Linked DNA regions of Anolis sagrei. The protein of the gene in region 1 purifies or fractionates together with the protein of each later gene. This does not show direct contact. Links are inferred from orthologs where the notes say so. Each region holds a gene or a part of one and is shown on either strand. Other genes may lie near its edges.

The links.
Region 2: the proteins of SMARCD1 (region 1) and BCL7B purify together in Homo sapiens (affinity purification with mass spectrometry; 4 studies listed by BioGRID and IntAct, counting the BioPlex papers as one, with this or other methods). This does not show direct contact. The link is inferred for Anolis sagrei from reciprocal best matches to the Homo sapiens genes SMARCD1 and BCL7B.
Region 3: the proteins of SMARCD1 (region 1) and DPF2 purify together in Homo sapiens (affinity purification with mass spectrometry; 9 studies listed by BioGRID and IntAct, counting the BioPlex papers as one, with this or other methods). This does not show direct contact. The link is inferred for Anolis sagrei from reciprocal best matches to the Homo sapiens genes SMARCD1 and DPF2.
Region 4: the proteins of SMARCD1 (region 1) and BCL7A purify together in Homo sapiens (affinity purification with mass spectrometry; 5 studies listed by BioGRID and IntAct, counting the BioPlex papers as one, with this or other methods). This does not show direct contact. The link is inferred for Anolis sagrei from reciprocal best matches to the Homo sapiens genes SMARCD1 and BCL7A.

The regions. Positions count from the first base shown.
Region 1 is NC_090022.1:140,190,560-140,198,011, forward strand, and holds the start of SMARCD1 (SWI/SNF-related matrix-associated actin-dependent regulator of chromatin subfamily D member 1), read left to right. Parts: upstream 1-4,449; 5' UTR 4,450-4,474; coding exon 4,475-4,645; intron 4,646-4,780; exon of another isoform or gene 4,781-4,894; coding exon of another isoform or gene 4,895-4,936; intron 4,937-6,901; coding exon 6,902-7,089; intron 7,090-7,452. UniProt on the Homo sapiens protein: Involved in transcriptional activation and repression of select genes by chromatin remodeling (alteration of DNA-nucleosome topology).
Region 2 is NC_090031.1:33,200,480-33,208,161, reverse strand, and holds the start of BCL7B (B-cell CLL/lymphoma 7 protein family member B), read left to right. Parts: upstream 1-4,677; 5' UTR 4,678-4,690; coding exon 4,691-4,845; intron 4,846-7,088; coding exon 7,089-7,164; intron 7,165-7,678; coding exon 7,679-7,682. Other genes in the region: TBL2 (transducin beta-like protein 2), read left to right, coding at 1,140-1,596. UniProt on the Homo sapiens protein: Positive regulator of apoptosis. Plays a role in the Wnt signaling pathway, negatively regulating the expression of Wnt signaling components CTNNB1 and HMGA1.
Region 3 is NC_090032.1:10,258,479-10,265,927, reverse strand, and holds the start of DPF2 (zinc finger protein ubi-d4), read left to right. Parts: upstream 1-4,448; 5' UTR 4,449-4,476; coding exon 4,477-4,508; intron 4,509-4,521; exon of another isoform or gene 4,522-4,745; intron 4,746-7,449. Other genes in the region: FIBP (acidic fibroblast growth factor intracellular-binding protein), read right to left, coding at 1,815-1,925, 4,046-4,307. UniProt on the Homo sapiens protein: Plays an active role in transcriptional regulation by binding modified histones H3 and H4. Is a negative regulator of myeloid differentiation of hematopoietic progenitor cells. Might also have a role in the development and maturation of lymphoid cells.
Region 4 is NC_090034.1:32,155,501-32,162,396, forward strand, and holds the start of BCL7A (B-cell CLL/lymphoma 7 protein family member A), read right to left. Parts: upstream 3,006-6,896; 5' UTR 2,794-3,005; coding exon 2,702-2,793; intron 1-2,701.

The DNA.
Region 1 (7,452 bases):
AGTAACTACAACCCGCATATGTCAAGATTTTCCCCCAAGAGCGCCTCAAGAGCGCCCCTGGGCAAAATCAACTATACTGCAAATGCTTACTTTGCATAATGGGTTGAGCCGCCCCTGCTTGGGAGATGTAGTTTTATATGGTTTTTAGCTTTCCCTGTGAAAAAGGGGTGGTATCTTACCAAATTACTACTCCCATGACTCCACAGCATTGAGCTAAGACAGTTAAAGTGGTGTCAAACCACATTCATTCTACAGTGCAGATGCACGCCAAATCAGTAAAAAAATGTACCATCCATAGTAATGACCAGTTGACCTAATTCTAGGCAAAATTTCTGGCTGAAAGGCATGGGCCAATGAAGAACAATGGGAAGCCTATGTAGCCCAGCAGCCTGCCTATGTAGCCCAGCAGTGATCAGTTTGATTGGCCTGCTAAGCCAAGGTGAGAGACCCATCAGGACAAGAGCACAATGCCGCACTCCCTTCATGCCTCCCAGAAAGAGAGATACAGCAGAGACCTATTCCCTCTGATCCTGGGGGCAATACACAGCCACCATAGCGAGTGGTATGGATAACCACAACCTTCATGAGAAGGCTGGTGCCTGAATGCAAGCAATCATGGATCTATAACTGAACAAGTTATCTTAGCAGGGTGCTCCCTTCTCATATCATGAGTATGATGTCAAGCACAAATACCCCCCCTCCCTCCAATCAACCACCAAATTATATGAACTTGGTGGCATGGCAGAGTGTTCCGCAGGTTAACATGGCTTTTATTTTTATCAGAATGAATTATGCAAAAATCCGAAGGTCTGGAGAAATCCAGCAGCATATACCAGCGCCCAGAGAATACCTCCTAATCCCATTAAGGTTTAAACTTTTTTTAAAGCATCACTTCTGCATTCTTCAGCTGTGCCAACAATGGCCCGGGCCACATGGCCCAGACCCCCCAGAGCCCCAGGACAGGGCCCATTCATAGCCTCATCCTCCAAATAGCCCCTCATAAACAACCATTGCCACCTCCTAACCACTCTGGGAGCCCCAGCAGGCTCCCAAGCCCTATTTTGCCTCTTTTTGCATTTTACTGGTATTGTAGACATTCACTTATCCGCAGATCTATATAACTTTCCTCTCTCAATTAACCTACCTCATAATCCCCTTCCTTGCACTGAATCCCCTATCCCATCACCTATGTCAACCCAACCCCCTGTGGATACGGAGATTCAGATGATCTCCCTCTTCACCCATGGGTTCATTTGCATATGTTTCCCTGGGGGGGGGGGTCAGCTTGTCTAATGTCTAGATACCTTTGCCTTCACAGAACCCTCATGTATATGTTTATCTTTTCCTTCCTATTATTTCACCTGTTTTCCCCAATGGATGCCCAGGGAGATTGACTCCCTTTGTTAACCTCATGTAGCCCCTCGTGCATGTGTCCCTATGTCCCCTGGATAGTGGGTCTCTGTGGGTCAGGTCCCCCACAGTCCTTGGGATTCCCCTTTGTGTGTATATGTTTAATTTCTTTATGCTTTGTATTATATAAAACTTGGAGAACCAGCCACCATGGTGACCTTTCAAGCCAGCACGTCTTCGCTCAGGGACACCTCCAAGCCACTCCCTGAGCTACAACTTGATAACCTTGGATGTAATCACCCAGCAATTGTGAACGGTACCCAGGCTACATGGAACAAGAGATATTGGAGCAGGGCCATCTGTAAACTATGTAGCCACTTGGACTTCTATAGACATTTACCACGAGAGAGAGAGAGACAGATCTTGTGTGAGGAGCGACTTGAAAAACTGCAAGTTGCTTCTGGTGTGAGAGAATTGGCCATCTGCAAGGACGTTGCCCAGGGGATGCCCAGATGTTTTTGATGTTTGACCATCCTTGTGGGAGGCTTCTCTCATGTCCTCGCATAAGGAACTGGAGCTGATAGCTCATCCGCGCTCTCCCCAGATTCGAACCTGCAACCTGTCGGTCTTCAGTCCTGCCGGCACAAGGGTTTAACCCACTGTGCCACCGGGGACTCCACATAGACATGACATGTTCTCAATGGGGAGAAGTTCGCTGTCTTGTTTTCCTACATGTCACTTCTGTTTTCCCAGGCACGAATCAATGATCCAATCACCCAAAGCAATATTTTTTTGTTGGACAACAAAGGACATTGGTGCGGAGTCATCACCCCACAAAGTCAGAAATTCACAGGACCATTTGCAAAACAATAAAATACTCAGCGATACCTTAATCCCATTCGATTTTTCCAACTTGTTACTATGTTGCTGTTGTGTAAAGTTTCCGTTCAGCCCCTCTTCAGCCATTGGAGAGCACTACATCTATATCCGAGGCAAGGAAAGTTCTCCCATGACCAGTGAACACCGCAGTCACACCTCTGCAGAGAGACTCCTCTGACATCATCGGAGTTTGGCCAATCACAGCCAATCTGGGTCCAGTTGCGGGCAGTGGGAATTTTGAATCTGTACTGTATAAAATGCTTACTTTTACTATGTCTGTATCTCAGCTTACTTTGGTGGGATACTGCGGGTTGAGATCTCAACCAGCTGATTGAATAAAATACTTTGGTGGCTCCATCTCCAATTTAGCTCACCAGGCGCTCGGACTCGTGAAATGGTTGTCGACTGGTACCAGCTGCTGCTTAACAGAGCCGGTATCTGTGCCTTCAGGTTCCAGTATCCATGGCAGGGTCTCATCCATGACCGTTTTAAATTGCTCTCAATTTCAAGTAAACACACAAAAAATAAATAAATTAAGTTAAAAGCTTGGAGTCGTGGTTTGAGTGACTCTAGAGACCAGCTAAAATAAGTTAACATTCAGGTTAACGTAAGTCAGAAATAACTTGAAAGTACACAACAAAAAGGGAAATTACATTAGGATTGGGCTACCTAATCCTCTCTGAATCAAGCCTTATAATGTGCTCCTTAGACCAGACCCATCCACGTCAACAGGGCGTCCTTTTCAGTCAAGGCCATATAATGCAGTTTAAAACTAGTCTTCACGCATGGTTTATTTAACTCATATCATATCTTGTGTGATTAATGTGTATTTTACAGAAATGCTTTGATTTGTATCTTTTATGGAAATTAATTTTAATATGTTTGTAGAATTTTTATAATTGTTAACTGTGCTGTGGGAAGGCTGTGGGAAGGCAGATAGGAAATACAATTATTATTACTATTATTATTACATTACATATGGCCAGTGTAGGCTCATATTAATGCAGCCTAGTACAGTTCAAAATACACGAGTCTGCACTTATATAATACAGTTCCAAAGTAATAAGGGCCTTATCACACTCCACTCTTAAATGGCTATTGTTCCACTTTAATGGTAATGGCAATATTTTGCAGAATGACCTAGCTTATAGTTTAGCAAGGCCCAGTAGCTTTTTTGGCTGACAACAATAAATGGCCTGGGTTTCTGTGAGTTTTCTGGGCTGTATGGCCATGTTCCAGAAGCATTCTCTCCTGATGTTTCGTCTGCATCTATGGCTGGCATCTTCAGAAGTTGTGGCATGTGTTGGAATCTAGGCAAGTGGGGTTTATATATCTGTGGAACATTCCGAGTGGGAGAAAGAACTCGTCTTGGGTTGTTGTAGGTTTTTTCGGGTTGTATGGCCATGGTCTATAGCAGGGGTCCTCAAACTTTTTAAACAGAGGGCCAGGTCACAGTCCCTCAAACTGTTGGAGGGCCGGATTATAATTTGGAAAAAAAAAAAACATGAATGAATTCCTATGCACACTGCATGTATCTTATTTGTAGTGCAAAAAAACCCACTTAAAACAATACTGTAATTAAAATGAAGAACAATTTGAACAAATATAAACTTATTGGCTGATGAGATAGGATTGTTGTTGTTGTTGTTGTCGTTGTGTGGTTTCAAGTCGTTTCACACTTAGTTTGATCCTGAGTGAGGGCCGGATAAATGACCTTGGAGGGCCGTATCCGGCCCCCAGGCCTTAGTTTGAGGACCCCTGGTCTAGAGGCATTCTCTCCTGACGTTTCGCCTGCATCTACGGCAAGCATCCTCAGAGGTAGTGAGGTTTCACTACCTCTGAGGATGCTTGCCATAGATGCAGGCGAAACGTCAGGAGAGAATGCCTCTAGACCATGGCTATACAGCCCGAAAAAACCTACAACAACTCAGTGATTCTGGCCATGAAAGCCTTCGACAACTTTTGGCTTGTTTGAGGCAAGTGTGAATGTTGCAATTGGCCACTTGATTAGCATGGAATGGCCTTTCCCCATACGAACAGAGAAGGGCGCTCCTGACGCAGGCTGCAATGGCAGGCCGCCGTCCAGCAGGGGGAGTCCCGCGGGGCGCTCCTCTGCGCCTCTCTCTCTCCCCAGCCGGCGGCGCTCTACCCGCCCGCGGGCGGCGTCTCCATGGTGCAGCGGCGCTCCATCTCCTGAGCCGACATCCGCCTCCCCTCCGCGCTTTGTACTGCCCAGGGAGGGAAGATGGCGGCGCGGGCGGGCTTCCAGGCGGTCGCTCCGAGCGGTGGCGGCGGCGGAGCCGGGCCTGGAGCGGGGCCTTTAGGGCCTGGCGCCGCGGGGGGGCCTCCGGTGCGGATGGGCCCGGCCCCGGGGCAAGGGATGTACCGCTCGCCGTTGCCCGGCGCCGCCTACCCGGTACCGACCCGGCCGGGCTTGGGAGGGGAAAGAGAGGAGGCGAGAAGGGGCGGGGCCAGGAGGGGGCGGGGCTTGGCGGGCGATGACGTCGGCGGAGGGAGCCGCACTGCAGTGGGCGGGGCCTGGCAGGCCTAGAGGGAGGGAGAGGGAGGAGGGGAGCCATTCCAGAAAGATGGAGGCGGAGAAGAGGGCGCCATCCTTTCAGGGGGGATTTGGGGGATAGTAGGCTCTCTTGAAAGAGAGGGCAATATGGGGGTGAGGCTGCAAGGGCGAGTGGGGAGAGACTCCGGGGTGAGCATGACGCCCTCGAAAGGGGGAATGGCGGGGGATCCAAGGGACACGGGGCTTCAAGGGGGGAGGGAGAGGGGGAGGGGAGGCAGGGCGGGGCTGGGCCAGAGGGCCTTTTGTGGCTTGCCTCTCTTCGATTTCACTGCCTTTGTAGCATCTCCCTCCGCCTGAGTGTGTTTTCCTTTTTTAACAAGGAAACAAAAGGAGAACAATGTCTCAGCATGAAATCAGAGGCATAAAATTATAGTTATGTCCTTGCTAGTGAGCTGGGGTATTTTATTAGGATTTGAATTTATCTATTTTAAACCATTCTACATTTAATTTTCTTTCAAGTTTATGTTGTTTATTGTGTTGTTTTTTAGCCTGTGGGGGAGGGCGCTTTGAGTCTCTTTATGAGAGAAAAAGCAGGATATAAATAAATAAATATTATTATTAAGGTTCCTTCTCCGGAGGTTTTTAAGCAGACTATCTGTCGGGAGAGCTTTGATTGTGTGCTCCTGCATGGAAAAATGGGGTTGAAGTGGAGGGCCCTTGCAAATCCATAGAATCCTAGTGTTGGAAGAGACCTCATGGGCCATCTAGTCCAACCCCCTACCAAGAAGCAGGAAAATTGTATAAAGCACCCCTGACAGATGGCCAACTGTATGATGCTAGGATTCTATGATTTAGTACTATTTATTTATTTTGTATCAAAAGCATTGCTTGAATTAGTATAAACTAATAAAAATAGAAGGAGTGCAGGCGGCTAAGTATCTTTTGACCAAAAACGGGCAACAGCAATGGCATTGTCTGTAGCCTCCAACAGTTCTTCCTTTGTACGTGAGGCAAGGCATAGTGGACCAAGCATACAGATGCGGAGTTGTCTGTTCTGCTCCATAGTCATACAATAATAATGGGCGAGGGTTCAGGTTTCTGGACCCAGAGGTGCTGAAAAGATATTGAAGCTAAAGGCTGGCTTATGCAGTTAGTAAGGCTAAATGATAAGTATTTTTTCATTACTTTGCATGTCAAGTAAGAGTTGCATGGCTGGATGCTTAACTGTTGGGAAGGTAATGACTTTTCTTTACATGGAGGAACAGCATGCAATGGCTGGGCATAGGCCAAACACTCTCAACCTCCAGCTGTTTGGGCCTCCGTCTCCCAGAATTCCTGACCATTGAACAAGCTGGCATGGGCTTCTGGGACCTGAAAGCCCAAATAACTGGAGGGCCACAGTTTGAAGAGACCTAGCATAGACTGAGAGGGCCTGTCATTGGTGCTGCTTATTTGGGGTGGGGGGGGGGGGGAGTGAAGAGAGAAATCAGTCCTGAGGGCTTGAAAGCTGTCTGGGGGGGTGGGATCTCTGACTCTGTGCAAAGGGCTACAATCCCCTCCCCACTCTGTCCAAAAGCACGCACCTTGTATAGTGAGTCTCTAGGCATGGGCAAACTTGAACCCTTCCAGGTGTTTTGGACTTCAACTTCTGCAATTCCTAACCAGCCCAGGCCCTTTCCTTTTCCCCCTCATCCCCTTAAGCATTCCAGCCTAAGAGAAAAGAGAACTTTCTGGGAAATGTTACATTTTTGGAAAGGAGGGAGAAAATAACCTATAGGAACAGATTTAGATATTCCAGAAAGGACTGTGAGCCAGCTTCTTGTATAAACCAGTTGTAATAAATGTTCTTTGCAACTAAGGATAAAACTATTGCAGAAGAATGAATGCAGTTTAGCACCACTTTGGTTCCATACTTTGGAGTTGTGGGAGTTTTAGTTTGATGAGACATCATCACTCTTTGGCAGAGAAGGCAAAGGACCCTTTAAAATTACAACTCCCAAGATCCCATAGTATGGCGCCATGGCAGTTAAAAGTGATGTCAAACTGCATGAGTTCTACACTGTAGATGAACCCAAGGTGTTTTGCTGTTGAGTAACCAGTGCTTTTCCTGACTGAACACTGGTAATCACAGGGCTGTTTTTCCTCCTTTCCCAGCGTCCCGGGATGCTGCCTGGCAGCCGCATGAACCCCCAGGGACCTGCAATGGGGCCTCCGGGGTATGGCGGGAGCCCTTCAGTCCGACCAGGGATGGCTCAGTCAGGGATGGACCAGTCTCGCAAGAGGCCAGCCCCTCAGCAGATCCAACAAGTGCAGCAGCAGTCCGTGCAGAATCGTAATCACAAGTAAGAAGCGCTTTTTCTCCTCTAGGGGTGGGGGACTACAACTCCCATTGCCCAACTATATTGGAATAGGATGACGGAAAATGTAGTATAATACACCAAGTTGGGGAAGGCCAGTTACAGATTTCTTTTCAGATGTGTCTTTAAAAATACCTTATACTAGTGTTTCAGTAACATGATCTTAAAGTTGGAAGATGGGGTGACAGAAGCTACAAAATGAGAGGTTGAGGCAGTATGAGCCCTGGTAATTGTCCCAATCAAATTAGGCGCGTGGATTCTTTTTTTTTTTCAGTAGTGAGTCAACATACGTGTAGATCTCATAACTTCAGTGAGTCCACTCTATCTGGATCTGTCAGTCAAATTTGG
Region 2 (7,682 bases), on another chromosome or scaffold:
TATTCAATACTGATGTTGTACTATGCTAATAATACACTATAATATATTGTATGTATATATATATCTTGTAAGCCACTCTGAGTCCCCTTCAGGGTGAGAAGGGCAGCATATAAATGTTGTAAATAAATACATTTTGGAATTACGGCACACAGAATCCCCCAGATAGCTAACTGTGTATAGATTATGTGTACAGATATTCATTTCGTCTCAAAAGCATTGCATAAATTATTGTTGAAGGCTTTCATGGCCGGAATCACTGGGTTGTTGTAGGTTTTTTCGGGCTATATGGCCATGTTCCAGAGGCATTCTCTCCTGACGTTTCACCTGCATCTATGGCAAGCATCCTCAAAGGTTTTTTTTTTTTTTTTTGGTCGTGTCAGTAGCAACTTGACAAACTGCAAGTCACTTCTGGTGTGAGAGAATTGGCCGTCTGCAAGGACGTTGCCCAGGGGACGCCCGGATGATTTGATGTTTTATCATCCTTGTGGGAGGCGTCTGTCATGTCCCTGCATGAGGAGCTGGAGCTGATAGAGGGAGCTCATCCGCCCCTCCCCGGATTCGAACCTGCGACCTGTCGGTCTTCAGTCCTGCCGGGACAGGGGTTTAACCCACTGCGCCACTGGGGGCTCCTCAGAGGTAGCTCCAACAGACAAGAGTTGTTTGTCCTACCCTGGTCATTCCACAGATATATAAACCCTTTCCCTAGTTCGAACAGACCTCACTACCTCTGAGGATGCTTGCCATAGATGCAGGCGAAACGTCAGGAGAGAATGCCTCTAGAACATGGCCATACAGCCCGAAAAAACCTACAACAACCCATTGCATAAATTAGTATAAAACTGATAAAAATAGGTGTGCAGGTGGCTAAGTATCTTTTGACCAAAAACGGGCAACAGCAACGGCATTGTCTGTAGCCTCCAACAATTCCTCCTCTGTACATGAGGCAGGGCATAGTGGACGAGCCTACAGATGCGGAGTTGTCTGTACATGAGGCAGGGCACAATGAACAAGCACACAAATGCAGAGTTGTCTGTTCTGTTCCATGGTCACACTGTGTGTACAGATAGATAGATCTAGATAGAAGTGTACTCGGCCACACTGTTGGCTCACGTTTCCTCGCTTTCCCTCTCTCGGAATAGGATGGCCACGGTCTCAAAGGACGGGACGTGGAAGCTGTGGGACACGGACGTGGAGTACAAGAAGCAGCAGGACCCTTACCTCCTCCTGACGGGGAAATGCACAGCAGAGGCTCCCTGCCGCATCGCCCTCTCGCCGGACGCCCGGGCCGTGGCCATCTCCAGCCGCACCAACATCGCGCTCTACAACACCCGGCAGGGCGAGGAGGAGGAGCGCTTCGAGGGCGTCCACGGGGAGCACATCACGGACTTGGCCTTCGACGTGAGCGGCCGCTTCCTGGCCTCGGCTGGGGACCGGGCCATCCGGGTCTTCCACAACACTGTGGGCTACAAGGCGGTGATCCAGGAGATGGCCACCCTGATGAAGAAGGCCACCAACGAGTCCACCAAGGAGAGACTGCGGCAGCAAGTGGCCAGCGCCCAGAGAGCCCTGGACAGCATCTATGGCAAGCGCAACTGAGCTTTTCAGTCGCGCATTGGGAGAGCTAATAAATACAAAAATAGTATTTTTTTGCACAATTTTCCACCATGTTGGGTTTCTTTGGATCATGAGTCAACAAAAAAGCCAATGCAATCCTAAGCTGCCTCCATAGGAGTCTATTGTCCGGCTCAAGGGGAAATCATATAGGATAGGGGTCTCTCAAGCAAGGTCATTGGTGCGGCTTCCAATCTAAACTTTAGCTCGAGGGTCACCCTAAGTCTCCAGTGGCATCGACATCTGTGATAATGCGGCGTGTCTCATTAAGAGCCACATCCACTGTTGTAATGTGGGGAGATGTATTCCACACTTGGCATGCATATCCAGCAGCAGAGTAGCAAAGCGCAAGTGCAGGTGTCTTCACTGTGTCTGGTTGTGATCCCCAGGTTGTGCCAGTCCGCTTCCGTATGATGTTATTTCTAGCACCCACCTTTTACTTGATAGCAAAGCAGTGCTTCTCGTAAGTCAGAGCACAGTCTGGCATATCTCCCAGGTATTTGGGTGTGCTGCAATGCTCCAGTGGGATTCCTTCCCAGGTAATAATCCTGAGATGCTTGTCTGTTCAGACGATGAAAACCACACGTCTGCATTTTAATGGATTAGAAATCAGTTGGTTTTCCCAGTAATAGACAGCAAGAGCACCAAAGCTTTGAAGAGCTTCCGTTCAACCATTTCAAAGCTTCGTACTTGGGCAGTGATGGCACGATCGTCAGCATAGATAATTTCCTCAGAACTCGAGATGCTTGTCTGTTCTGAAAGTGAAAAGCAAACGTCTGCATTTTAGATGGGTTGGGAATCAGATCATTTCCCCTCTCAATAGGTCGTAAGAGCACCTAACACTTTGGAGAGCTTCTGTTCGACCATTTCAAGACACCCGGCTTGGGCGATGATGGCATGATCGTCAACATAGATTAGTTTAGATCAGGTGGTGCAATATATTATATTATTAGCACAATATCAGCATTATACATTCCCATATTGTACTATACCACTATACTGTAATATTATTAGTAATACTACATGTAATATAAAATATATAAATCTTGTATTATTATTAGTATTATATTGTATTACATTATAATATAATTATTAATACAAGTGTATACATTATATTATTAGTACAGCACAATATTAGTATTATATATTATTATATTGTACTATTCCACTATATTGTAATATTATTAGTAATATTACATATTATATAAAATATATAATTCTTATATTGTTTTATTATTAGTAATATTACATGTAACATAAAATATATAATCCTTCTTTGTATTATTATTATTATTAGTACAATATATAATACTGATATTGTGCTAGCCTTATAATATAATTTAATATAATATATTGTATAAAGGATTATACAATATTATTAGTATTGTATTGTATTACATTATAATATAATTATCAATATTATATGTGTATACAATATATTAATAGCACAGTACAATATTAATATTATATATTACAATATTGTATTATTCCTCCATACTCTAATATTACATGTAATATAAAATATATAATCCTTATATTGTATTATTATTATTAGTATTACATATTGCATTATAATATAATTATCAATATTATACGTGTATACAATATATTGCTTAGGCGATCCCTCGTTGGACGAGTAAGATGGTCTTCCTTGATGACTATTTTTGTGGGTTTGTAGGTGGCTGCGGAGCCCTCTTCTTGACCCGCATCTTCTCCCACAGTGAAGGCATTGGTTTCCAGGTGGAAGGCGGATCCAGTCGGGTTTGGCTTGACGCGCCTTCCTCCTGGCACATTTCTCTCTTTCACCCTCTACTCATGCCTCCTCGAATTCTGCAGCACTGCTGGTCACAGCTGCCCTCCAGCTGGAGCGGTCAAGGGCCAGGGCTTCCCAGTTCTCAGTGTCCATGCCAGAGTTTTTAAGGTTGGCTTTGAGCCCATCTTTCAATCTCTTTTCCTGTCCACCAACATTGAGTTCGGAATAGAGCAACTGCTTTGGGAGACGGTGGTCAGGCATCCGGACAATGTGGCCGGTCCAGCAGAGTTGATGGTGGAGGACCATCGCTTCAGTGCTGGTAGTCTTTGCTTCTTCCAGCCCGCTGACGTTTGTCCGCTTGTCTTCCCAAGAGGTTTGCAGGATTTTCCAGAAGCAGCGCTGAAGGAATCGTTCCAGGAGTTGCATGTGATGTCTGTAGACAATCCACGTCTCGCAGGCATAGAGCAGGCTTGGGAGGGGAATAGCTTTATAGACAAGCACCTTGGTCTCCCTACGGATGTCCCTGTCCTCCAACACTCTCTACTTCATTCGGAAGAATGCTGCACTCGCAGAGCTCAGACGGTGTTGTATTTCGGTGTCGATGTTGACTTTGGTGGAGAGGTGGCTGCCAAGGGAGCGGAAAGGGTCAACATTTTCTAATGTTACAACATTAAGCTGTATCTCTGGCATTGGGGAGGGGATGGCTGGTGTCTGCTGGAACAGCACTTTGGTTTTCTCGATGTTCAGTGACAGGCCAAGCTTTGTGTATGCTTCTGCGAAGGTGTTTAGAGTGGCTTGTAGGTCTTCTTCTGAATGCGCACAGACGACATTGTCATCAGCATACTGGAGTTCTATAACAGCAGTTGTTGTAACCTTGGTTTTGGCTTTCAGTCTGCTGAGGTTGAATAGTTCTCCAAAGTTGTTTAGAGTGGCTTGTAGGTCTTCTTCTGAATGCGCACAGACGACATTGTCATCAGCATACTGGAGTTCTATAACGCCAATATATTAATATAATATTTTATATTATACCCTAATATAATATTATATATTAATATAGAAATCTATATAAATCAGTATAATATACTCAAAAACCTAATGCATGTAAATCTTTTTAGAAAAAAAAATCATGAAAATATGCAAATGATTGCAAATAGTCCCAAGCATGTCATTGAAAAGAGACACATCCCTTCTTTCCAGCTTGCAGACTTTGGCGCATGCGCACTCTCCGCCGGCTCCGCCACTCTTCCCTCCTCCGCCTCCCAGTGGGCGGGGCGAAGGCGATGACGCGTTACGCAGGGCGGTGTGGGCGGGGCGTCCTGCGCGCGCATGCGCACTCCCTCCTCCGAGAACGGCGGCGGCGAGAGTCGTCGCCGGGTCCAAGCGGGCGCCATGTCGGGCCGGTCGGTGCGGGCCGAGACCCGGAGCCGCGCCAAGGATGACATCAAGAAAGTCATGGCCGCCATCGAGCGCGTCCGCAAGTGGTGAGGAGGGGACGGGGAAGGGGAGAGGAGGGAGGGGGCTCGAGGAAGGAGCGCGCCGGCCTTTCAGCCAATCGCCGGCAGAGGCCGAGTGAGTGACAGCGCGACAGCCAATCAGCGTGATGCGTGGAAGCCCTTTTCAGAAAGTCACCGAGCGAGCCACGCGATTGGTGACAACGGCGGCCAATCAGCGACGTGACAGAAAGGAACCCTGGATTGACGTTTATGTAGCCCAATAGGATTTGAGGAGCTCGGGTTGCCATGGGGGCAAGGGTGGGCCTTTGGTTCCAGGCCTAAGCTGGCAGATTTGCATATTCTCAGTTTATTTGCATAGTTGATTTACATACTGTCATTCATTCAAAGGGAAGGCTGGCCATTGCCTTGACTGGCCTATAGAGAGATAGAAATATATATATATATATATATATTATATGATTATACAATATAATAATAATGCAATATTATAATTATATATTTTATATTACATGTAATATTACTAATAATATTACAATATAATGGTATAGTGCAATAGAATTCTAGAATCCTAGAGTTGGAAGAGACCTCACGGGCCATCCAGTCCAACCCCATTCTGCCAAGAAGCAGGAATATTGCATTCAAATCACCCCTGACAGATGGCCATCCAGCCTCTGCTTAAAAGCTTCCAAAGAAGGAGCCTCCACCACACTCCGGTGCAGAGAGTTCCACTGCTGAACGGCTCTCACAGTCAGGAAGTTCTTCCTAATGTTCAGATGGAATCTCCTCTCTTGTAGTTTGAAGCCATTGTTCCATTGCGTCCTAGTCTCCAAGGAAGCAGAAAACAAGCTTGCTCCCTCCTCCTCCCTGTGGCTTCCTCTCACATATTTATACATGGCTATCATATCTCCTCTCAGCCTTCTCTTCTTCAGGCTAAACATGCCCAGCTCCTTAAGCCGCTCCTCATAGGACTTGTTCTCCAGACCCTTGATCATTTTAGTCGCCCTCCTCTGGACACATTCCAGCTTGTCAATATCTCTCTTGAATTGTGGTGCCCAGAATTGGACACAATATTCCAGATGTGGTCTAACCAAAGCGGAATAGAGCATGGGGAGCATGACTTCCTTAGATCTAGACACTATGCTCCTCTTGATGCAGGCCAAAATCCCATTGGCTTTTTTTGCCGCCACATCACATCCCTGGCTCATGTTCACCTTCCTCCCCACGAGGACTCCAAGATCTTTTTCACACGTACTGCTCTCGAGCCAGGCCTCATCGTCCCCCATTCTGTATCTTTGCATTTTGTTTTTCCTGCCAAAGTGGAGTATCTTGCATTTGCCACTGTTGAACTTCATTGTGTTAGTTTTGACCAATCATCTCTCTAATCTGTCAAGATCATTTTGAATCCTGCTCCTGTCCTCTGGAGTATTGGCTCTCCCTCCCAATTTGGTGTCGTCTGCAAACTTGGTGATCAATATAGTAATATATAATACTGATATTGTGCTATGCTAATATAATATAATGTAAATAAATTGTACGAAATATAATTTTTCTAATATTATAATGTAATGCAATATAATACTAATAATAATGTGATAGTATAGTTATATATTTCTATTACATGTAATATGACTAATAATGTTACAATATAATGGTATAGTACAATATAGTGATATATAATACTGATGTTGTGCTATGCTAATAATATAATGTAATGTACTATATTGTATAAACATAATATTTATAATATTATAATGTAATGCAATATAATTCTAATAATAATACTCTGATATTATAATTATACATTTTATATTACATGTAATATTACTAATAATATTACAATATAATGGTATAGTACAATATAGTAATATTTAATACTGATATTGTGCTCTCCTAATAATATAATGTAATGTACTATATTGTATAAACATAATATTTATAATATTATAATGTAATGCAGTATAATTCTAATAATAATGCAATATTATAATTATATATTTATATTACATGTAATATTACTAATAATATTACAATATAATGGTATAGTGCAATATAGTAATATTTAATACTGATATTGTACTATGCTAATAATATAGTATATTATATGTTTATGTGTGTGTGTGTGTATATATATATATATATTGTAAGCCACTCTGAGTTCCCTTTGGGGTGGGAAGGGCGGCATATAAATGCTGTGTGTGTGTGTGTGTGTGTGTGTGTGTGTGTGTATATATATATATATATATATATATATATAAATTATTCTTTTCCAGGGAGAAGAAGTGGGTGACAGTGGGAGACACCTCCTTGCGGATATTCAAGTGGGTCCCTGTGACGGACAGCAAAGAGGTAAGTACATGTTTCAAAAGACAACATTGATGCCTTTGGCAGGAGACACATCCATCCAGTCATTCTAACCCCCTTCTGTCGGTCAAGAAGGCATCGTCAAAGCCCTCCCAACAGATGCTCATCCAGCCTACCAAGAAATGTCTTGGGATATGCTATATTATTTTTATACATATTATATAGACCTTATTTATTATATCAATATTATCTAGTACTATATAATACTAATATTGTGCTATGCAAATAATATAATTTATTTATTTATTTAGTATATTTGTATACACTTCTCAGCCAATCGGCGACTCTCTCCCTTTGGGGTGAGAAAGGTCAGCATTTAAATGTAGTAAATAAATACGCCAAGAAAACAAGCCATATCGAGCTGGAAGGGACTCCCCAAAGGCCTTCCATCACAACCCCCTTTTGCCAGAAATACACAGTCAAAGCCCTCCCAGCAGATGCTCATCCAACCTCTGCTGGTAGCCCAACTCATGGCCTTCCTTCTCTTCTCGCTTTCAAGAAAG
Region 3 (7,449 bases), on another chromosome or scaffold:
GACAACTTCCAAATGACAAAACCATTTTTTTTGAGTGAAGGACATACATGGGGTTGTTAGGTGTCTTGTGTCCAAATTTGGTGTCAATTCGTCCAGTGGTTTTTGAGTTCTGTGAATCCCACAAACGAACATTACATTTTTATTTATATAGATATATATACACACACAGTATACAATCAAATCACACACACACAAATATACATATATATGTATGTATGTGTGTGTATACAGGAATCCAAAGCCAAGAGTATTTTAAGGCAAATCTTGCTTCACAATGAGTCTTGTTTGACCTTGCGCCTTCAAGGTGGGCTGGACTGCAATTCCCAAGCAATATATGGCCACATTGAGAGATCAGGTTTAGCCCCAAAACTCTGCCCTTGCACTATGCTACTCTGCTGCTGAGTACGCATGCCCAGTGTGGAACACATCTCACCACACTAAAACAGTGGATGTGGCTCTTAATGAGACATGCCGCATTATCACAGGGTGTCTGCGCCCTACACCACTGGAGAAATTACACAGCTTAGCCGGTATTGCACCACCTGACATCCGCCGGGAAGTAGCAGCCAATAGTGAAAGGACCAAGGCAGAGACATCTCCAGCTCATCCCTTGTTTGGGTATCAGCCAGCACGTCAATGACTTAAATCAAGACATAGTTTTCTTAGATCTACAGAGACACTTGCTGGAACACCCCAGCAAGCGAGAGTCCAAAAGTGGCAGACCCAAACCCAGCACCTCAATCCATGGGTGATACCAGATGAACGACTCCCCCCTGGGCACTCAGAAGAGTGGGCGACTTGGAAGGCTCTGAACAGACTGTGCTCTGGCACCACGAGATGCAGAGCCAACCTTCAGAAATGGGGCCACAAAGTGGAATCCACGGCATGCGAGTGCGGAGAAGTGCAAACCACACACCACTTACTCCAATGCAGTCTGAGCCCCGCTACATGCACAATGGACAGGGGCGGCTCAACCCATTACACAAAGTAAGCATTTGCGGCATAGTTGATTTTGCACAGGGGCGCTCTTGGGGGAAAATAGACCTTGACATATGTGTTGTTACTGGGATGTATAGTTCACCTACAATCAAAGAGCATTCTGAACTCCACCAATGATGGAATTGAACCAAATATGGCACACAGAACTCCCACGATGAAAGGAAAATATATATCAGTGATTGGTTGGGGGGGGGGGGGGAATACTGTTTGCTTACCATTGAAAATTACCTAGGGCCACCTCTGACAATGGAGGACCTTCTTACAACTGAAGTCGAACGTGACCCCCCCCCCCACCCTCTCCCCAGAGATAGTAACTTATAGTTTTGCTAAGGGCAAGGACACCAGGCTGGATAACAAAGGTTAAGCCTTGGTCAGTTTGGTGGGTATCATTCAATCAAGGCTTTATGCTCTATTCTCATATGTTTACAGCAGGAGGTAACCCATTTATTACTGAAAATAATAAGAGTTGCAGAGATGCAGAGCCAATCTTAAGAAATGGGGCTATAGGGTGGAATCCTCGGCATGCGAGTGTGGAGAAGAGCAAACCACTGACCACCTGGCACCTTGAGCCCTGCCACATGCACCATGGAGGACCTTCTTGCGGCAACCCCAGAGGCACTCCAAGTGGCCAGATACTGGTCAAAGGACATTTAACCAACTACCAAGTTTGCAAAATCTGTGTTTTTTTTTCTTTTCTTTTTAATCTGTGTGTTTGTTTTGTTCTGTTAGAATTGTAATATAATGGTATAGTTGCTGATGACACGATAAATAAATAGCCCCAAAACAAAGAAAGACACCTGAGACACCTGTCGCACCTGAATAGCCATCCAGCCAGAGCTGGTAGACCTCCTCATCGATGAGAGTAGTGTTCCCCACGAAGATGTCCAGATTGCTGGCCATGTTGCCTCTGAAGATGGAACAGGAAGCTGCAAAAGGAAGGTAAAATATAATTCATTTACATCAGGCATGGGCAAACTTCATCCCTCCAGGTTTTTTGGACCTCAACTCCCACAATCAAAGGTTTCAAGCTCTGAGGATTTCCTGGAAAGGAATCTCTCTGGAGCACTGCAGTACACCCAAATACCTGGGAGTTACTCTGGACTGTACTCTGACTTATAAGAAGCACTGCTTGGTGGAGAGGTGGCTGCCAAGAGAGCAGAAATGGTCCACATTTACTAACGTTACACCGTTACGCTGTATTCCTGGCATTGGAGAGGGATTGGCTGGTGACTGCTGGAAGACCACTTGGGTTTTCTCGATGTTCAATGTCATTGGAGTTTATTTATTTATTTATTTATTTATTTGGTTTACTTTTACCCCGCCCTTCTCACCCCGAAGGGGACTCAGGGCGGCTTACACATCCAAGGCACAATTTGATGCCCATAGCATACATCAATAATAAGCAATAAAACAAAATAACAAATTAGCAAACAACAACAACAACAACACATTGCATCTAAACCCGTTAAAACCAATAAAACCAATAAAATTTCATACAAACCGATACAAACCGCTTCTTCCTTCTTGGCAGTCAGTGTTCGCTATCTCATGGTTCAGAGTTTTCTTCCACATTTATCAGTCCACATATATCAGTCCTGCCGGTCCTAATTGCCTGGTTGTCCTATCTAGTTAGCAGATTGCCCGAAGGCCTGGTCCCACAACCACGTCTTTGCCTTTCTCCTAAAGGACAGGAGTGATGTCGATGCCCTGATATCCACTGGGAGTGAGTTCCACAGGTGGGGGGCCACCACTGAGAAGGCCCTGCTCCTCGTCCCCACCAGCCTTGCTTGGGAAAGCGGTGGAGTCGAGAGCAGGGCCCCCTCAGATGATCTTAAATTCCGTGGTGGGACGTAGAGGGAGATACGTTCGGACAGATACGCTGGACCGGACCCGTACAGGGTTTTGTAGGTCAAGACCAGCACCTTGAATTGGGCTCGGAACTGAACCGGCAGCCAGTGGAGCTGACACAGCAGAGGGGTGGTGTGCTCTCTGTATGTCGCCCCAGTGAGCAGCCTGGCTGCCGCTCGCTGGACCAGTTGAAGTTTCCGAACCGTCTTCAAGGGCAACCCCACGTAGAGCGCGTTGCAGTAGTCTATTCGGGATGTAACAAGAGCGTGGACCACTGTGGCCAGATCAGACTTCCCAAGGAACGGGCGCAACTGGTGCACAAGTTTTAATTGTGCAAAAGCTCTCCCGGCCACCGCTGAGACCTGGGGTTCCAGGCTCAGCGATGAGTCCAGGATCACTCCCAAGCTGCGAACCTGCTTTTTCAGGGGGAGTGTAACCCCGTCTAACACAGGCTGTAACCCTATTCCCTGTTCGGCCTTACGACTGACCAATTACTTGCTAGGAAGTGCATCAAGGGGACGAGTATACACTGGGACAGGCATGGCATTATTGTTCATTCCTCAAAAGCAAGGTGGAACAGCCAAGTTTTCAAGCTTTTCCTAAAATATCACATGAAAGCTGTTCCTCTTTATTTTCCCATCTTTCCTTTAGTTGCTTTCCCTCATTCCTCCCTCCCTCCTTTTCTCATGTCTTCTTTCTCCTTCTTTCCTTCTCTCTTTCCATCATACAGAGAAGCCATTGAAATCCACAAGCATGAGGACAATTTCAACAGAAAGGAAGAGACCATGAAAATGAACAAAATCTGGCTACCAGTATTAAAAAAAACTCTAAAATTACAATAGCAAAACAACAGAGGGGAAACAAACAGGCACAGAAAATCACTCTCAACAAAAGATTCCCCCCAGGCACTTCCAAGCCATTGAATGCTAATCAAGCTGGCCAATTGCAACATTCACACCTAGCCCCAGCAGACAAGAGTCCTTTGTCCCACCCTGGTCATTCCACAGATATATAAACCCATTTTTCCTACTTCCAACAGACCTCATTACCTCTGAGGATGCTTGCTATAGATGCAGGCGAAATGTCAGGAGAAAATGCCTCTAGAACATGGCCTTATAGCCCGGAAAAACCTACAATAACCCAGTGATTCCGGCCATGAAAGCCTTCGACAATACATTCTGCCCCTCTCTCTCCTTACCTTTTCTCCTCTCAACCACAACCACCACCTTTCTCTGTAGTAAATAAGACCTTTTGACCCTCTTCCTGGCCAAACTGGGGCTCACGCATGCGCAGACCCCGAGTGTCACTCTCCAGGCGCCATCTTGGCTCCTGGCACTGCAACCTCTCCTCTTAAGATTCCACAGCCAACCGCATTCATAGCGAAACGCAGTCTTGTCTTTTTTTTGGTCGCTCAGGGCATCCGTCGAAGCCTCCTGTGGCGTAAAAAAAAATGAGATCATTCAACGCATGCGCACACAAACTACACCCCGTTCTCGGGATTGAACAGCATGAGCTGGGAACAGCGAAGGGTCATGCGCAGCCACGGAGCGCATGCGCCGTGCCGTGCGCGAGCATCCCTCATGAGAGCCCGAGCGGGCGGTTCGCGCAGGCGCAGTTGAGGCGGGCAAGATGGCGGCGGTGGTCCAGAATGTGGTGAAGCTGTGAGTGGAAATTTTCCTCTTGTGTTCCCCCCTCTTTTCCGTCAGGAGTGGTACAGCCCGAGCCTTTGCGAAGCGGGAGCAGAGGGCGGGCCCATTCCATTCGCAGGGGGGAAAGGGGAAATCTTTGTTGAGGGAGAAGGAGGAGAGTTGTTGGGTCTTTTTTCTTCTCATTGTTTGGCCCTAAAGTTTATGATACATATGAGCAGGATATAGTGGAGCCAGAGGAGAGAAACACAGGTGAGTCAGTGCCTTAAAGTTTCCAAAGTAAGGTTTGTGGAAGGGAAATAACACTTTTGTTACTTGAGGCGGGCCTGAGGGAAAAGGAGGCCTTCAGGAATGGAGGAAGGACAACTCCACCTCAATGAATGGTGTCCTGAGGTGGAAGGGATGTTGTTGGTGTATACTAAAGTGTGCATTGCCTGGGTTTGCTTTTTCTTTGAAGCTCTTTCTTTCCTTCCTTCTCTCTTTCCTTCATCTTTCCTTCTTCCTTCCTTCTTTTCCCATGTCTTCTTTCTCCTTCTTTCCTTCTCTCTTTCCTTCATACTCCTTCGCCCTCTCTCTTTCCCTGCCTTCCTTCAGTTGCTTTCCCTCATTCCTCCCTCTCCTTCCTTCCTTCCTTCTTTCCTCCCTCCCTCCCTCCTTCCCTCCCTCCTTCTTTTCTCATGTCTTCTTTCTCCTTTCCTTCTCCCTTTCCTTCATACTTCTCCCTCCCTCTTTCCCTTCCTTCCTTCAGTTGCTTTCCCTCATTCCTCCCTCCCCTCCCTCCCTCCCTTCCTTCCTTTTTCTCATGTCTTCTTTCTCTTTCTTTCCTTCATACTTCTTCTCCCTCTCTTTCCCTTACTTCCTTCAGTTGCTTTCCCTCATTCCTCCCTCTCCTTCCTTCCGTCATTCCTTCCTTTTTCTCATGTCTTCTTTCTCTTTCTTTCCTTCTCCCTTTCCTTGATACTTCTTCTCCCTCTCTTCCCTTCCTTCCTTCAGTTGCTTTCCCTCATTCCTCCCTCTCCCTCCTGCCTTCCTTCTTATGTCTTCTTTCTCTTTCTTTCCTTCTCTCTTTCCTTCATACTTCTCTCTCTTTCCCTTCCTTCCTTCAGTTGCTTTCCCTCATTCTTCCCTCGCCTTCCTTCCTTCCTTCTTTCCTCCCTCCCTCCTTCTTTTCTCATGTCTTCTTTCTCTTTCTTTCCTTCTCTCTTTCCTTCATACTTCTTCTCCCTCTCCTTCCTTCCTTCTTTTCTCAAGTCTTCTCTCTCTTTCTTCCCTCTCCCTTTCCTTCATACTCCTTCTCCCTCTCTCTTGTCCTTCCTTCCTTCAGTTGCTTTCCCTCAATCCTCCCTCTCCTTCCTTCCCTCCCTCCCTCCTTCTTTTCTCATGTCTTCTTTCTCCTTCTTTCCTTCCCTCTTTCCTTCATACTTCTTCTCCCTCTCTCTTTTCCCCACCTTTTCTTCAGTTGCTTTCCCTCATTCCTCCCTCTCCTTCCTTCCTTCCTTCCTTCCTTCTTTTCTCATGACTTCTTTCTCTTTCTTTCCTTCTCTCTTTCCTTCATACTTCTTCTCCCTCCCTTTCCCTTCCTTCAGTTGCTTTCCCTCATTCCTCCCTCTCCTTCCCTCCCTCCTTCTTTTCTCATGTCTTCTTTCTCTCTTTCCTTCATACTTCTTCTCCCTCCTTGCCTTCCTTCCTTCAGTTGCTTTCCCTCATTCCTCCGTCTTCTTCCTTCCCTCCTTCCTTCTTTTCCTTCTCTCTTTCCTTCATACCTCATACTCACTCTCTCTTTCCCATCTTTCCTTCATTTGCTTTTCCTCATTCCTCTCTCTTCCTTCCTTCCTTCTTTTCTCATGTCTTCTTTCTCCTTCTTTCTTTCTCTCTTTCCTTCATACTCCTTCTCCCTCTCTCTTTCCCTTCCTTCCTTCAGTTGCTTTCCCTCATTCTTCCCTCTACTTCCTTCCTTCCTTTCTTCTTTTCTCGTGTCTTCTTTCTCTTTCTTTCCTTCTCTCTTTCCTTCATACTCCTTCTCCCTCTCTTTCCATTCCTTCAGTTGCTTTTCCTCATTCTTCCCTCTCCTTCCTTCCTTCCTTCTCTCCCTCCTTCCCTCCATCCTTCTTTTCTCGTGTCTTCTTTCTCTTTCTTTCCTTCTCTCTTTCCTTCATACTCCTTCTCCCTCTCTTTCCCTTCCTTTAGTTGCTTTCCCTCATTCCTCCCTCTCCTTCCTTCCTTCCTTCCTTCCTTCCTTCCTTCCTTCCTTCCGTCTTTTCTCATGTCTTCTTTCTCTTTCTTTCCTTCTCTCTTTCCTTCATACTTCTTCTCCCTCTCTTTCCATTCTTTCCTTCAGTTGCTTTCCCTCAGCCTTCCCTCTTCTTCCTCCCTCCCTCCTTCTTTTCTCATGTCTTCTTTCTCCTTCTTTCCTTCTCTCTTTCATACTTCTTCTCCTCCCTCTTTCCCTTCCTTCAGTTGCTTTCCCTCTTTCCTCCCCTTCCTTCCCTCCTTCCTTCCTTCCTTCTTTTCTCATGTCTTCTTTCTCTTTCTTTCCTTCTCTCTTTCCTTCATACTTCTTCTCCCTCTCTTTCCCTTCCTTCCTTCATTTGCTTTCCCTCATTCCTCCCTCTCCTTCCTTCCTTCCTTCCTTCCTTCCTTCCTTCTTTTCTCATGCCTTCTTTCTCTTCCTTTCCTTCTCCCTTTCCTTCATACTCCTTCTCCCTCTCTCTTTCCCTTCATTCAGTTGGTTCCCTTCCTTCTTTCCTTCCTCCCTCCCTCTCCTTCCTTCCTTCCTTTCTCATGTCTTATTTCTCTTTCTTTCCACTCCCCTTCCTTCAGTAGCTTTCTTTCATACCTCCTTTTTCTTCCTTCCTTTCCTTTCTCATCCTTTTTCTTGACTTTTTCTTTTTCCTTCCCCCTTTCATACTTTCTCCCTCTTTCTTTTCCTTCCTTCTTTCAGTTGCTTTCCCTAATA
Region 4 (6,896 bases), on another chromosome or scaffold:
TGGACTGCTAACAAGCCTTCTAGCTTTTAAAACAGAGACCATCCAGTATGAAAAGAGCAGTATAAATCTATTTGCTGGATTCCATTCATAAACACCTAGAGATGAACAAAACCTGGCTCTGTTTTATCAGACACAAAATCTTGAGCTACATGAAATTGAAGGACACCGGCTCTGTATGAGCTATTCACTTGCCCAACACAAAACAGGCTAAAATTACAAAAACACAATCAAGTTCACCAAAATAAGACTCTCTAATTACATTCATATCATGTCATCTGATCCAAAAATACCAAACGACACCATGATTGCCTATTGTCTCTCAATAACCATTTCGCTGCATTGTTTTAAGTATGCCACAATGACTTCCACAATAGAAACTACACAATAACCCCCTGCAAAAGAATGAAACGCTAAAATGCTGTAAAGGTTTAACAAAAGGGGATGATTCTACCAGGTTACAACCTTCAATTATATAATTTCAAATAAATTCAAGCAGCAATTACAACCTCTTTCTAACACTGAATTTAAATTGTACAAATCAAACAATACATACCAGCATACATTTGACTTACTGTGTGAAATAAACCTTTATAATAGATCCATCTGGTTGACCCATTCCAATTAAAATATTGGGGGATGTACATATTTTGCCCTTTATATGGCATTTAAAGGAAAAAACTATTCTTTCAAGCCTCCCTTCTGAAAAGTGTCTGAAACGGATTTAAGCTAACCCTTCACACTTGAAAGTGCACAAAGGTTTTGAAGGAAAAGATGAAACGTTTCTTTTGCAGCAAAGTAAGCCTGTCACATAAACGCCCATCCTATTTGCCATTTTTGTGCCTATTTAATATCAAATCCTTCTGATTTGAGAGAGAGAAAGAAAATAAAGATATATAGGCCACAAAGCACATTCTCCGATCTTCCACGCTTCAGACAAAAGGAAAGGGAACCAATTGGGAGTCAAATGACACTTTAGGACTGATCAGAAAGAGGCTGCACAAAGAGAAAAGCAGCCAGAACAGCAAAAGTTCACCGGAAGGTGAGGATGAGAGATGAGCCCATGAGCGGCAAGAGTCCACTCAAAAGCAGATTGAGAAGGGTTTCCCCCCCCCCCCTAAGAATATGAATATTCACAGAAATGAGGGATGTGCCCTCTGGGAAGAGTGGCCCTGAAAAAGGTGAAAAGGAAGTCAGGAGATCCTTAGATGGGACTGTAACTCAGGTACATGCTTCACCTGGAGAAGTCCCAATCAGGGGCAGATTGGGAAGGGAGAAAAGGAGTCCCCAGTTCAAAAAGATCTCACTGATCAAAGTAGGGTGGAGAGTAGTTGAACTGGAGTAATGATCCAATTCTGTATGTAAACCAGATTCATTGCTAGCTATTGGGGGGGGGGGGGGGCTAACAGGAGAAAAAGTCAGGATAGGACAGAAAAGGCTACAAGAGTTCAGACAGAGGAGAACAGAGATTTGAATACTCTGCTGGTCTGAAGAAGGGTCCAGCAGAACAAAATGGGAGAGGATGAAACCACTCCTGGGGTGCATCACAGGCTGAAGTATCTATCTATCTATCTATCTATCTATCTATCTAATAAAAGTGAAAATATGTTTGTATGTATGAATGTATGCTTGTATCTATGTGTTCAAGATGGCTCTCACATTGAGAGAGAGTCCCATGACTCCTGCCAGCGACAAATCTGGACCAAATTTGGCACGCAGACCCCCACAGGACCAAATTTCAGTCCTGACAAGTTGGGAGGGAATTGTCCTTGGATGTTGGGAGTTATAGTTCAGCCACAAACAAAAGACTCCTCTAAACCCAGCTGATGATGAATCTGGGCCAAACTTGGTACACACATCCATCATGGCAAACTTGGCCAGGTTTGGGGAATACTGGCCAGGTTTGGGGGGTGGGGACTGACCAGGACGTTAGGAGCTGTTGTATAGCCACATTTTTTGGCCTTTTCGAATAGGTCTACTTCTAAAAACCAACGCCATGCAACGACAGACAGCTTCTAATGTGGATCCTTCTGAAAGAGCAAATGCTCTTTTGAAAGAGAGTATGAAAAGAAATCTAGGGCGGGAGGGAATGAGAAGTCGGTGGGTCAGTCAGGGCTGAGCTGTGAAGGGGTCATGGGGGCAGGGAAAGCAAAGGCCTTGGGCCAATAAGAGAGGCGGCTGCGTAGGAGAATGAATGGGCAGGGTGGCGGGGGGAAGAGGCCAAAGGAGCCAAGGAGGGCACAGGACCAAGGCTAGTGCTGGGAGTGGGGTGAGGGAAACCGAACCTGGGGAGGAATGGATCCCCTAGCAGGGGAAGGGGGGGAGAAGTCTTGCCTTGGGGGTTATGGGGCAAGTCTTGGCTGTGAAGGGGGGTTGTCTGAAGAAGACTGGAGCAGATTGGGAAGGGGAGAAAGGGAGGGCAGACAAGGCCAAGGGATGTGGGGCACTAGGAAGCGACCCAGGAGGGGGCGGGGCCTGTTTGGGGGGGGGGGTAGAAGCAACTGAAGGGAAGAGCTGGAGGAGAGGCAGGCGAAGGAAGAGCGGGGGTGGAGTGGGGGAGAGAGAGAAGAGCGAGCCTATCTGCCCCAAAGGAAGCCAGCACTTGGAGGGGGGAGGGCGGGTTCTAAGGGCTGCCCCCTTCCCTTATTCTCCAAAGGAACTCCTCCCCCAAAAAGGACTACCCTGTGCCCTCTGCTCCCCTCACCATTTGCGGACTTTCTCGATGGCGGCCATCACCCGCTTGATATCATCCTTAGCGCGGCTGCGGGTTTCGGCCCGCACCGACCGGCCCGACATGCTGCTGAGGCGGCGAAGGGGGTTGGACGCGGCGCGGGGGGGGGGGGAGGCAGGCTCCGAATGGACGGCTCCCTCCCTCGCTGAGGAGGTACAAGAGGCAGCGGTAGCAGCAGCAGAGGGAGAACAAGTCCGGCCTGGCTGGTTGGCCCCCTCACGCACAATGAAGGCTCCTCCCCGCCTCAGCCCGCCTCGAGGGAAGAAGGCAGGCAGGGAGGGAGGAGCAGCACGCGGAGGCGGCACTGCGCAGGCGCCAGCGCGGAGCACGTAGCCTTCCCGAGCCCGTTGGGGGCGGGACCTGTGCGAGAGGCAGCCTTCCCGCCCATTTGGCCGCTGAGGGCATGGAGTTCCCTCAGGGTTGGCCCTCTACCTTGGGAAAGGCTCGTTGTCTGTTGACGCCTAGCCTTTCCAAAAGTGGAGAGCCAAGCCTGAGGGGACTTGAGGCGTTTAACGACCGCCTTCTAAAACACCTTCTTTTCTGCAGTCCATAAAGCACCATTTGTACAAAGGAGAAGACCAGTCCCAAAGCATCGCAAGCCCAACCACAAGTTCCCATAGGGCTGGTGTCCAAAAGGAAAGCCCGCCAGGCCCTCCATTTCTTCTTCGAAGAGACCCCAAACGCCATGCAGTCCCAATGCCATTCGCTATTTTATGTGTCACAAGCCAGTTGAGAATACTGTTACAATGTATTAAAAAATACAAGGAAAGTTAAAAGCTTGGCATTATACCAGATTTCCTCTGACCAGAAGCTGGCCACTTGGAATGCCTCTCGTGTCACTGTGAGAAGGTCCTCAATTGTGTATGTGGTTGCGATGTAATAGGTCGTCAGCAGTTTGCTCTTCTCCACACGTGCATATTGTGGACTCCACTTTGCAGCCCCATTTCTTAAGATTGGCTGTGCCTCCCGTAGCGCCAGAGCGCAGCCTGTTCTGTGTGCCCAGGAGGGAGTTTCTCATCTGGTTTCAGCCACTGATTGAGATTCTGGGTTTTAGCTTGCCATTTTTGGATTCCCGCTTGCTGAGGTGTTCCTGCAAGTATCTCTGTAGATCTTAGGAAGCTGTCTCTTGGTTTAAAGCGTTGGCGTGCTGGCTGATATCCAAACAGGATGGGCCAGAGATGCCCATGGCTGCTACTTCCCGACAGATGTCAGGTGGTGCAATACCATCTAAACGAGGGGTCCTCAAACTAAGGCCCGGGGGCCGGATGTGGCCCTCCAAGTTCATTTACCTGGCCCTCGCTCAGGGTCAACCTAAGTCTGAAATTACTTGAAAGCACACAGCAACAACAATCCCATCTCATCAGAGATAGTTTATATTTGTTAAAATTGTTCTTCATTTTAATTATTGTATTGTTTTAAAGTGTGTTTTGCACTACAAATAAGCTATGTGCAGTGTGCATAGGAATTAATTAATGTTTTTTTCCCAAATTATAATCCGGCCCTCCAACAGTTTGAGGGACTATGACCTGGCCCTCTGTTTAAAAAGTTTGAGGACCCCTGATCTAAACAGTATGATTTCTCCAGCAGTGTAGAGCGTAGACATCCTGTGATAATGTGGCATGTCCCAATAAGAGACACATCCACTTTTTTGTGTTTTTTTTCCTTTTTTTATTATATACTAGTTTGGGGACCCGGCACTGCCCGGGTAATTTGAGAAAGGAATTATGTATCAAGGTTGCTTATTTATCAGTGATTTATATGGCTCGCAGTGGTCTCAGGAAGTTAGTGAAGGTACTGCAAGTCCCATCATCTGTGGTCCTTCCTCCTCCAAACTGCACCAGAATGGAGAGTGGGTCGTGGGGGCTCTGTGTGCCAAGTTTTGTTCTTGATCAATCATTGGGTGAGGGTCACAGTGGTCTCAGAAAGTGAGTTTAGGTACTGCAAGTCCCATCAGCCATAGTCTGTTCTCCCCCAAATCTCACCAGAATGTTGAGTTGGCCATGGGGGCTCTCTCTGCCAAGTTTGGTCTTTCTTGGTATTTGGATAAGTGTCGCTGTGGTTTCAGGAAGTGAGTGAAGGTACTGCAAGTCCCATCATCCATCGTCCGCCCTCCTCCAAACAGCATCAGGATGTAGAGTGGGTCATGGGGGCTCTGTGTCCCAAGTTTGGTCTTCATCGGACATTAGATGAGGGTTGCAGCCGTCTTGGGAAGGGAGTGGAGGTACTTGAAGTCCCATCATCCATGGTCTGTCCTCGAAAGTGCACCAGGATGTAGAGTGGGTTATGCGGACTCTGTGTGCCAAGTTTGGTCTTGATCAGTCATTGGCAAGGGTCTCAGTGGTCTCAGGAAGTGAGTGAAGTGACTGCAAGTCCCATCATCCATTATCAAATTCTTCCAAACCGCACCAGGATGTAGAGTGGGTCATGCAGGCTCTCTGTGTAAATTGTGGTCCTGATCCATCATTGTTGGCAGTTGTAATGGTCTTAGGAAGGGAGTGCAGGTATTGCAAGCCCCATCGTCCATGGTGCATCCTCCTCCAAACTGCACCAGGATGTAGAGTGGGTCATGGAGACTCAGTGTGCCAAGTTTGGTCTTTATCGGTAATTGGATGAGGGTTGCAGTGGTCTCAAGAATTGAGCCAAGTTACTGCAAGTCCCATAATCCATGGTCCATTACCAGCCAAACCACACCAAGACGTAAAGTGGGTCATGAGAGGTCTATGTGCCAAGTTTGGTCCTGATCAGTCATTGGATGAGGTTAACAGCGGTCTCAGAATGTGAGTGATGGTACTGCAAGTCCCATCATCCATGGTTCATCCTCCTCCAAACTGCAGTAGGATGTAGAGTGGGTCTTGCGGGCTCTGTGTGCCAAGTTTGGTCTGTATTGGTAATTTTCTGACAGAGCCCCTGGCCTTTTCCTTTCCTCTCTTTGTCATCTCGGAATCTTGGAATTGAGGCTAGCCAATCAGAGACCATATGCAAATTTCCTTCTCTCATGTCTCCGTTTCTGCCATGAACCCTTTTCTCCACCAGGGGCTCCTGTTGGAGCTGGCCAATCAGAGACCATATGCAAATAGCACCACATTGGCGGCCAATCGGAATCTTGGAACTTTCTGGCTGGCCAATCAAAAAGCCTGCACATACACCGCCACACTTCCGCCGCATACAAACTTTGACTTTTATTATATACTAGCTTGGGGACCCGGCGCTGCCCGGGTTATTAGAGAAAGTGGGTAATGGCAGTTCTGTATGCCAAGTTTGGTCTTTATTGGTAATTGGATAATGGCTGCATTGTTTTCAGGAAGTGAGTGAAGGTACTTGAAGTGCCATCATCCATGGTCCACCCTCCTCCAAACAGCAGCAGGATATAGAGTGGGTCATGGGGGCTCTGTGTGCCAAGTTTGGTCTTTATCAGTCATTAGATGAGGGTGGTAGTGCTTTCACTAAGTGAGTGAAGGTAATGCAAGTCCCATCATCCAAAGTCCATCCTCCTTCAAACTGCAGCAGGATGTAGAGTGGGTCATGGGGGATCTGTGTGCTAAGTTTGGTCTTGATCAGTCATTGGATTAGGGTCGTAGTGGTTTCAGTAAGTGAGTAAACGTACTGCAAGTCCCATAATCCAAGGTCAACCCTCCTCCAAAACTGCAGCAGGATGTAGAGTGGGTCATGGGGGCTCTGTGTGCCAAGTTTAGTCTAGATTGGTCATTAGATGAGGGTTGAGCAATCTTGGGAAGGGAGTGGGGGTACTTGAAGTCCCATCATCCATGGTCTGTCCTCCAAACTGCACCAAGATGTAGAGTGGGTCATGGGGGCTCTGTGTGCTAAGTTTGGTCTTGATCAGTCATTGGATGAGGGTAGCAGTGGTTTCAGTAAGTGAGTAAACGTACTGCAAGTCCCATAATCCATGGTCAACCCTCCTCTAAAACTGCAGCAGGATGTAGAGTGGGTCATGGGGGCTCTGTGTGCCAAGTTTGGTCTAGATTGGTCATTAGATGAGGGTTGCAGCAATCTTGGGAAGGGAGTGGAGGTACTTGAAGTCCCATCATCCATGGTCTGTCCTCCTCGAAAGTGCACCAGGATGTAGAGTGGGTCATGGGGACTCTGTGTGCCAAGTTTGGTCTTGATCAGTCATTGGCGAGGGTCTCAGTGGTCTCAGGAAGTGAATGAA